2 linked regions of the Ovis aries genome follow. The protein of the gene in region 2 interacts with the protein of the main gene of each other region in a biochemical or structural test. Links are inferred from orthologs where the notes say so. Each region holds a gene or a part of one and is shown on either strand. Other genes may lie near its edges.

Evidence for each region. The genes of interacting proteins can lie anywhere in the genome.
Region 1: the proteins of NUP85 (region 2) and NUP43 form a complex in vitro, tested with the Homo sapiens proteins (2 studies listed by BioGRID). The link is inferred for Ovis aries from reciprocal best matches to the Homo sapiens genes NUP85 and NUP43.

What each region holds. Positions count from the first base shown.
Region 1 is NC_056061.1:74,008,109-74,013,262, reverse strand, and holds the start of NUP43 (nucleoporin Nup43), read left to right. Parts: upstream 1-2,007; 5' UTR 2,008-2,389; exon of another isoform or gene 2,390-3,033; intron 3,034-3,460; 5' UTR 3,461-3,468; coding exon 3,469-3,657; intron 3,658-3,696; exon of another isoform or gene 3,697-3,746; coding exon of another isoform or gene 3,747-3,779; coding exon 3,780-3,866; intron 3,867-4,170; coding exon 4,171-4,293; intron 4,294-5,100; coding exon 5,101-5,154. Other genes in the region: PCMT1 (protein-L-isoaspartate(D-aspartate) O-methyltransferase), read right to left, coding at 1,756-1,984. UniProt on the Homo sapiens protein: Component of the Nup107-160 subcomplex of the nuclear pore complex (NPC). The Nup107-160 subcomplex is required for the assembly of a functional NPC.
Region 2 is NC_056064.1:55,594,284-55,598,922, forward strand, and holds part of NUP85 (nuclear pore complex protein Nup85), read right to left. Parts: intron 4,125-4,639; coding exon 4,055-4,124; intron 2,900-4,054; coding exon 2,778-2,899; intron 186-2,777; coding exon 51-185; intron 1-50. UniProt on the Homo sapiens protein: Essential component of the nuclear pore complex (NPC) that seems to be required for NPC assembly and maintenance. As part of the NPC Nup107-160 subcomplex plays a role in RNA export and in tethering NUP96/Nup98 and NUP153 to the nucleus.

The sequences.
Region 1 (5,154 bases), on a different chromosome or scaffold from region 2:
TAAGAAGTTTTATTAAAATATTTACAACATATTGAGCTTCTGGTCTATGAGAACCTAAATCACTCTTAACACTGACACTGCACATAAATTTCCATTTCCAATCAAGTATCCTTCCATAAAGTGAATACTGGCAATGTTAGACAGGGCTTTTAAACCTAAACATTCTTTGAACATATATATATATAGCTAAGTTGCTTCAGTCATGTCCAGACTCTGCGACCCCCGTGGACTGTAGCCTATCAGGCTCCTCTGCCCATGGGATTCTCTGGAGGGCAAGAATACTGGAGTGGGGTGCCCTATCCTCCTCAAACATTCTTTACTAAACACTAAGGAGTTGGTGATGGACAGGGAGGCCTGGCATGCTGCGATTCATGGGGTCACAAAGAGTCGGACACGACTGAGCGACTGAACTGAACTGAACTGAAGGACACAATCTCCAACTTTGGAACATTGTGTTTAAAAAAAAAAAAGACTAACATTAAGCACTAACCATGTGCCAGCCAATGTTACTTATTCTCTCACTAATCTTAGTATTCCTAGCCTAGATCTAAGCATATAATATATACTTAACTGGCATTTATTTTTCAAACAAGTAATGATTATTAAGATGAGGGGATTCAAAGACTAAAAAAAAAAAGGTACTGGCCCTCAAGGAGGTTACAAATCGAATTTGGAAACATGAGACGCGAAAAGCTAAACAACCTATAACAATTAAAAATACCACGTGGTAGGGCTGCGATTATTTGCAAAGTCAGTGGCAAAGAAGAATGCTATAAATTCTGACCAGAGAGAGAGTACTATAGACTGCGGTTCCGGTCTCCCGACCAGACGGCGACACTATAGTTCAATTTAAAAAAAGAAAGTGACACAGCACTCATCCCACCCTAAAATTATCATCAGAGGAAGGAATACAATAACTAAAGAGAACGGTGTAAAGAAAACTTCCATACACAGCTTTTAAAGCATACGATGGCCCTGATAAAAGTGAAAACGGGCCGCAGAACACAATCTTTCGCTGGATCTCCAGGACCTCTGAAGGCTCCTGAAACACAGTCTCTCAAGGAGAGCATCCTTCCTCCTTTCTCCCTCAGCTCCCTACGAAGCTTTCCACTGGACAGCCGTCCCAGAAATTTCTCCCAGCATCCGCAGTGACAGCAACTCTCATCTTCCTCTCCCTCCCCTCGCCGGTATCAGACAGTGGCATCTCCCGCCAGGGGAAAAAACGGAGGGCGGGGGGTGGGGGGAGGCAGAATAGGCGAGAAAGCTTGCAGCTAGATTGATTTAAGACGGGAAGAGTAGGTGGGAGGACGCGGGGGTCGAGGGCGGGGTCCTCCCAGCTCCAGCTCCAGTCTCTCGGAGGTCTAGCCAATATCCCACTCCTCCCGCTCCACCCCAGGGCGCGCCCCTCGCCCGCTGGACCTGAACTGGGAGGCGACGAACTCGAGTGACAGCCCCACTACCTGTGCGCCCCCAGCCCCCAGCCCCGTCCCCCAGGCCTGCGGGGAGATGCCTGCCCCCGCCCCACGAGCAGCGGCCCCGGGCTCCTTCTCTGATTCCAGTCCACATCGCCGATGAGTGACAGGTCCCGGGGGAGGCAATCGCCAGCGCTCGCTGGTCGGGACCGCGGGTGCAACCGTGCGCCGAAGCCCTCCAGCACGCACGGGGAGTAGACAGAACGTCCCGGGCGGCCCCAGGGGACCCGGACCAGGCCTGGCCTTCCTCGGTTGCCCCACACCCGGCGGGGGTGGCACTTACTGCGGAGGTTGTGGATCAGCTCCGAGTGGCTGGCGCCGCCGGATTTCCAGGCCATCGCTAAGCACACCCGGAGCAGGTACAGAACCACCTTCAGCGCGGCGACGGTGCCCAGTAGCTTCCCCAAGAGTGAGACCACCTCCCACACGGTCACCGCCCCGTTCTCGTCCCCGCTGGAGCCGCCGCTGTTACTGCCGTCGTCGCTGCTGCCGCCACTGCGCGCTCCCGGCATCCCCCGCGGCACGCATGCGCTCTGTGACGCCGCGCGGCCTCGGGCGCGGCCGGGTGGGGCCGGAGGCGGGGGTGGCTTCGCGACCCGCAGCCCGGGCGAGGGGCCGCTGCGGCTGCCCGAGATTGGCGGCTTGGCCTCGCTGAGTCAGCGCCACCGCCGCCACTGCGTGGCCTTTCTGAGACCTCGGGCTGCGCAGCGCCTCCTTGCTTGGGTTTGCCCTGCGGTCAGGCGGGGTGGGCCGCAGCGCGGTCGGCCGCGTGCCTCGCTGCGGCTCTGGTCACCGAGAGCGGTGGCAGGATGGCAGGGCGGGTCTGGTTCCGAGGCTGCCGGTGGCTCTGCAGTCGTCGCTGGGTCAGCTGTTGCGAGTGGCGGGTCTGCTCCTATAGCTGTCCAGATTGTTAAACGGTGGGCTTCCTCCGTCCTGCCTTCACCCAACCCAATGAATGACTAACATATTTAGGTCGGTTAGAGTCAGAGCTCCCTATGGTGAACACCGAGTATCTTAAACGGAGGGCAAACGTCCTCTCTAACCCGAGTACTCCAGGCTCTAGCTAACAAGTACATTTAGTGGCTGGTTAGCAGAGACTTTGGGACCCTGATTTGTTCTCAGCTCTAAAGCACAAATTCAGAGAGTGGAAGAAGACAGACAAGGGTTGGAGGGTGGAGCACCGAGAATGCTTTGCTCCTTAGGAAAATGCACTTGCTTAAAAACACTACAGTAGCCTGTGGCGACTGTTTTTCTCCTAACACAAGTGGGCGTTTTTAGCTATTTAAGCCTCACAAATTCCACCATTAGACTGGACCCCGGCTTTGCTGCTATCAGCTATGCAAGACACCGAGTGAGAAACTGACAAGGAACATTGCCAGTAGAATCCAACTTGCTGACTCCTAATCAGAACGGAGACTGGAAGGATCCAGTCATTTAGTCCCAATAAACTTTTAAGGAAGGAAACAAAGCTATGTAAAGACATTGATGCTACTGCGTCAGCAACAATGCTCAAATTTTAGTTCTAACCAGACCTTGGCAAATGTGGTGTCTATGTAAGTATGTATGAATATAGTTATATATTAACTATTTCGTGGGATTCTGCGATAATAACCGAAGCAGCATTCTTTACTTCAATATTGGGAATAAATTAGCCAGTTTGGGACTCAAAATTGGAACTGGGGGTCTTCAGAATTACAACTCCAGTTTCTGACCGTGTGTGTTATCATTGAAGAAAAGTACTTGCTTGGGGGGACAGGGAGGGAGAAGTTTTTAATAATACATTGGTACGTTAATGGACGTACTTCCACGAGAATTTAAGGATTTTTAATCTTTTCTATGCGCGGTGAAATGCAAGCCTGCTTAGGTGTAGCTACTAGCTCGTTTCTCTTGCATTGCTTTTATTTTGGTTTTGCTCTTAAATTTGTCTTTACATTGCAAATTCTTTTGCGCCAATGTATTGTCTCGGTGTTCCTATACCGATTTTGCAGATTAGAAGATGGTCCTACAGCACAAGGACGGGCATGCCCTTGCCCTGGTGCACAAGGACGGGCATGCTCTTGCACTGGTTCAGAGCCGCCTTAGTCAGGAAGGCCGTCGCATCTTCTTCGCGTTTGGGGCAGGGTTGTTCGTTCCTGCACTGCGGACGGAGGAGAATTGGCTCTCTGCAGCCACCGTCCCTCATCAGGTCCGGTCCAATCAGGGCTCAGCGAGAAGGGGCGGGGCTGAGTGGCGCGCGCTGTACTTCGTGCTGTGCCTACCTGGGTTCCTCTCAGCATGGAGGAAATTTATGCTAAGTTTGTATCACAGAAAATCAGCAAGACTCGTTGGCGACCATTACCTCCAGGGAGCCTGCAGACAGCGGAGACTTTCGCCACGGGCTCTTGGGACAATGAGGTACCCCTGCGCCCGACCGGGAGTCCCTGCTATCTCCTTCCTTCCAGAAACCGCGCCCCCGGCAGCCAGCGCGCGAACTCCTGTTTCGTAGCTCCTCGCGCGGTTGTCTGTCTCCCGAATGCACGTCTCACGCTCGGTCGCCTTATATCTGAGAGGCATCAGTGGCCTCGTTTCTTGTGTTTTTAATGATTATGCCGTTTGCCCTGGATACTTTTAAAGCAGGGTTGATTGAAGGCAGTGCACATTTCAATTTCGAGGAGTTTGATGTATATTTCATCTCAAAATGGAATTTTCTGCTTTTCAGGAAAATTATGTTTCACTGTGGTCTATTGGAGATTTTGGAAACTTGGATTCTGATGGAGGATTTGAAGGAGACCATCAATTATTGTGCAGTATCAAACATCATGGTGATGTAATGGATTTACAAGTACGTCTGTTGTAATATCCAAGAGCTAACTTTTAAAAAATTGAGAGTAATACATTGAGAGATGTAAAGGACCTTATAGTTTGTCTAGTCTTACCCTGGGTTTACAAGAACTTGAGTTCTCTGTAGGTTATGATTTGTCATGTCATATAGCTGGTTATGGCAGAGTCAGCACTGGGGAAGGGGATGTGAAGTTAATCATAGCTTGTTTGTTTAATTGACCATCTACTATGTGCCAAGCTGTGTTTACATAAGTTAATTTCATTCTCATGGAATGCTGGTGAATCAAGTATTGTTATCTCTCTTATGAGAAAACTAAGATCTTTTGAGCATGGATTATATGACAAATACTGTGCAAGACACTTTACATGTTTTTGCTTTTTGAATTCTCGTTTTATAAGTTTACCAAAGCTTGGAGAACTTAACTTGGCCCAGGTTTCAAATCGGGTAATAACTGGTGGGAATGGAATTAAGTTTTCAAATTCTGATCTGTAAGACTTCAGAGTCCCTGCATTTTCTTCTGTGGAAAGCTGCCTGACCCTGGGAATTATACTCTCCTAAACGTTTATGGTAGTTGTACAAAATTAAATCAATTGTAGATGAACAGGTTTGAGGGGGGAAATTATTGTTGTTTATTCTTCATGAAAATACTTTTATTTGTATAGCAGTTTTGACTTTGGCATTTTATTTGCTTAGCATTTGTAGGTTCTTTGCATTTTAAAATTGTTACACTGCTAATTGAGTTAGATAAATGGGCTTCTTCCCTGCTGATATTTATGAATTTATAACATGCAGGAATTTTCTGTTTAGTTTTTGGACCAGGAAAGAATTGTAGCTGCTTCATCGACAGGATGTGTGACAATT
Region 2 (4,639 bases):
TCACGCTCCCTGTATAAACCTCTCTCTGCGACCCAGGCGGCTCCACATACGCTGAGAACGGGCATGGTCCTCATCAGGTCCCCCAGGACTCGGCACATGCCTGCAGAGGTGGGGTTGGTGTCGGCTTCCTTGGAGAGCATCTGTCGGGCCTCGTCCAGCCGGCCCTGTAGCACCAAGGTGGTCACCTGGGAGGACACCAAGAACACAGCATCCAGGCGGAGGCTCAGCAGCCAGTCCCCTCAGCCTGCTTTGGCTTCCTCATCCTGGAGAAGTGTGATGGTTTCTCCGTCAGAGGTAATTTAATTCATCCAACCTTCTAGTTTCAACCCGTACCATGCTTTTCAAACTGCGTGTTGTTGTATCGCACTGCAGGTGACTGACTTTTTAAAAATGAAACAGAAAATAAAAATTACCAAAGTGCATCAAATAAAGCACTGATCTGTAAAAGTTTCAGTTAAAAGAAAAAGTTCTAGTTCAAATACTGGGTTAGCCAAATTTGGTTCAGGTTTTTGCATGCTATTTTATGGCCTGGGTTCAATTCCTGGTTGGGGAACTAAGATCCTGCTAGCCACGGCAAAAGAAAAGGAAGAAGAAGCAAGCCAAGGAAACACATGCTGCCCAGTCCCAGTCCCTTTCCCTGATTCCAAACACGCACATCCTGTTGCCAATGGCTCCACTTGGTTCACAGGCACCTTAACATGCCTCGAAATGAACACCGGGTCGCTTCCAACCCACCAACCCACATTCTTCTCTTTCTTACACATCCAATTCATTAGCGAATCCTATCACTGTACCTTTAAACTGCATCCAGAATCAAATCACTTCTTACCACCTCCTCCACTCAGCTCCTACCCGGGTCCAAGTTACCACCACAGCTGCCTGATTTAGGACCTGAGCCTCCAGGCTGGTCTCTCCGTTCTGCTTTTGCTCTATTCTCAGCAGTGCAGCCAGAAAAGCCTTTGAAAACCTAAATCAGGGACTTCCCTGCTGGTCCAGTGGCTAAGACTCAGTGCTCCCAATGCAGGAAGCCTGGGTTCCATCCCTGGTCAGGGAACTAGATCCCACACGCCGCAATTAAGAGATCACATGCTGCAACTAAAGAGCCTGCATGCCACAACTAAGACCCAGCACAGCCAAATAAGTATTTTTTAAAAGAAAAGGAACTCTAAGTCAGATCACAGTGTTCCTGTGTTTGACTCTCTAATGTCCTCTGTACCCCAGCTGACTCAGGAGTAGAACGGGAGCTCTACTGTGTCCATCAGCCAGGTCATACCTTTATCTCCTTCAGCTAACCGAATCAGAACAGCTCTGTGGGACAGGTGTCACACTCTCCAGGCCACACACGAAGAAACTAAAGGCAGTCAAGTGACTCACTAGAGCTCACAGATGGTAAGAGGCAGAGCTGGGATGCTAACCTGGCCAGCTTGGCACCACAGACCCTGTTCTTAGCATTCAACTACCCTGCCTCTCTGGGGCTTTCCTGGTGGCTCAGTGGTAAAGAATCCTCCTGCCAATGAGAAGATGCAGGTTTGATCCCGGGGTAGGGAGGATCCCCTGGAGAAGGAAACAGCAACCCATTCCAGAATCCTCGCCTGGAAAATCCCATGGACAAAGGAACCTGGTGGGCTATAGCCCACAGGGTCCCAAGAGTCAGACAGGACCAAGTGACTAAGCATCACCACCACACTGCCTCTCTAGGAGCTGAGCCCTCACTCCTCGTCACCTCCTCAGGTTCCTACTCACACGTCACCTCACAAGGGTGCCCTTCCTCGACTTTAATACTCCCAATTCCCCTCTCTTGCTCTTTCTCTCCAGAGCGCTTCGCTTTTACACATATTTTACTTGCTTCTATATTTATTTCCGGTCTCCCCACCCAGAATGCAAGTTCCGTAAGGGTAGGAACCACTGCCTGCTTTGGTCCTGGTTGTTTCCTCAGGGCCTGCACACAGCACCACTCAAATACACAGTGAATGAATCACACACTTAAACCCTAGGCCCAACCATTTCTGAACAAAGGCTCTCCCCTTTACCTGCACAGATCTCGGAGCACCCGAAGGCCTCAGAAACAGCATTAAAGGCAGCAGCTCTTTACCTGAATTTCAGATGATATAAGTCTCCAACATTCAAGTCAACCAGCAACCTCCGCCCTGGTCGCTCCATACTGGGTCATAGGTCAGTATAGGTGAATGGAAAAGTACTGCTCTCCCAGACATAGAATACACACACACACACAAACTTTCAAACTGACCATCCAAAATGACTGGGATCATCAATGTCTTTGTTTTTAATAGCTTTACTGATTGCAATGTACACCTTATAAACATTTACCTGTTTAAGTGTCTAATTCGGTGAATTTGAGTAAGTTTATGGAGTTGGGCACTATCATCACAACTCAGCTTCAGAACACATCTAACACCTCAAAACCGCCCTCAGCTCACTGACATCAAACCCCTACCCCAGCACCTATCCATCGGCTTTGCACTGTCTTCACCAAGTCTCATTCTTAGATCCACAAACAGATCAAAATTCCCTTCTCACTGTGAAGTCTACAAAGCATTATTTTTCTTACATGATAACTTAGTTCAAAACTCTCCCATGGAGCAGGGAAGAAAACACCTCCCTAAGCACGCCTCCCTAAGCACATCTCCATGATCACAGACTCAAAGAACAACACGCACACGGGTTCAGCAGGGAAACCCGCAGGCCAGCCCAGGGGCCCAGGCCAAAGAGAATACGAGGAGGAAGGCAGGGAGGCCCAGCACGCACAAGGGTCTTACCAAGTTCCAGAAGCTCTCGTGTTTGCTTGGATTCTCACTGCCCAGAACATCTGCTGACAAATTGTCCACCTCGCACACATGCAGTCGGACCCAGTCAAGGAGGTACAGGAGGAGAGGGCCAGCTGGGAGGAAACACATAAGCAGTAGATTCCACTTTCTCAAAGTACAGAGAATGTAGGGCAGGCGAGCGAACTATGGTGGAAGTGGTCTGTCCCTCTTCAGTGAGCGGGCGTGTGCTCCTGACAACAGGGCTGAGCTAGCGAATGGACTTCTGTGGGCACCTCCTCTGTGCCACGCAGCTCAACCTTTCACTGAATCGTTGGGGGCGCTGAACATGAGACCCAGATCTCACCAGCCCGACCACCCCCAGCTTCTTCACAACTACGCAATACTCGGTGACATCAGCAGTGGCCATATGGGGATGGCACTGACTAGGTGCCAGGTACACAAACGTGATAGAAAGACAGCAACAGTCCTCAGAATCTACTGGAAGAGGCAAGCAGACAACCAACCAATTCAATTTCAGGCTGCTCAGTGCTTGAGCAGGAGTTATGAATAAAAAGCTGTGACCACAGAGAGACTACTAATACACACTTATGGACAACAGTAAATACAAACCATTAGAAGAAAGCAAAAAGGCCTACAGCCCCTCCACAGAGAGCCCACTGTACTGCCCACAGGATACTGTACTGACCACAATCAAATTCAAGATCAAGGGAATAATTCAGAGTGGACGCATGAAGCTGTAGGGTTGCCCCTGACCCAATCACCAGCAAAGGAATTCTCTAAGGGATTCTGCCTTCCACCACCTAATCTTGCCTCACATCCGTACAACATTTTTCATTCTTAAAATTTTAAACAACAGAAATGTACTGTCTTGTGTTTCAGGAGGCTAAAAGTCTCTGGAGCTGGGAGGGCTGGTTCCCTCGGAGGCTGAAGAACCTGCACACACCTCTCCCGAGCTTCTAAAACTTTCTAAAGCTTCACCAGTCCATGGTATAAATATGGACCACCCCTTTCGCACACTAGTTTAATATCTGTTTCTTCATATTTTTTAGGGGTCACCTGCCTACAACTAAGGTTTTCAGAAGATACTCTGACTCTTTGCAGTATCTTGACAAAAACACAGGCTTCTTCAGGCATCCTGTAACACCTCCCAATGCTTATATTGATGAAAAGCAACGAAAAGAGCATTCTAGGCAACAAAACACTCAGCACAGCACAGGACAGGGTAGGGGGACACCTCTGCCGCTGTGACAAGATCATTCTGTGCTCACCTGGGGCTACTTCGATAAAAAGAATCTCACAAAGGTTCCAAATGAGTTCCATTGCCGACAGAATGGAGACCTAAGGAAGGAACAAGTTTTGACTGAAAACGTCCCAAAGATTTTTTTCCCCTAGAGCTAAGAAACAAAGCAGAGCTTGAAACACATGATGGTCATTCATTAACTCAACATTTATAGACTGTTCCTATGGTAGGGGTCCCCACAAGACAGTCAGAGAATTTTAGGGGGTGGGACACAGAATAATAGTTTCTGTTTTAATGGTTGTGGTTTTACTTTAATGTGCGTTAGGAAAATGTAGGTAGCTCTTTACACCCAATCTTGATGAATATTATACTTTAGGAAGCAGCTCTTAGTAAAAAGGGAGATTTGATTTTTAGAAAAATATTTAGCAAATAATATAATAATATACAGGTACAGCAAAAATTAATGATGTTGATATTCAAGGGACTGATGTTTAGGAAACAGTCTATTAAAAAAGTAAACCCAATGTAAGACTCCAAAATAAATCAGCTGTGGACCCTGACCTTAGGAATATGCAGTACCCCTATCATCCTCCTTATACAATCACAGAATTTT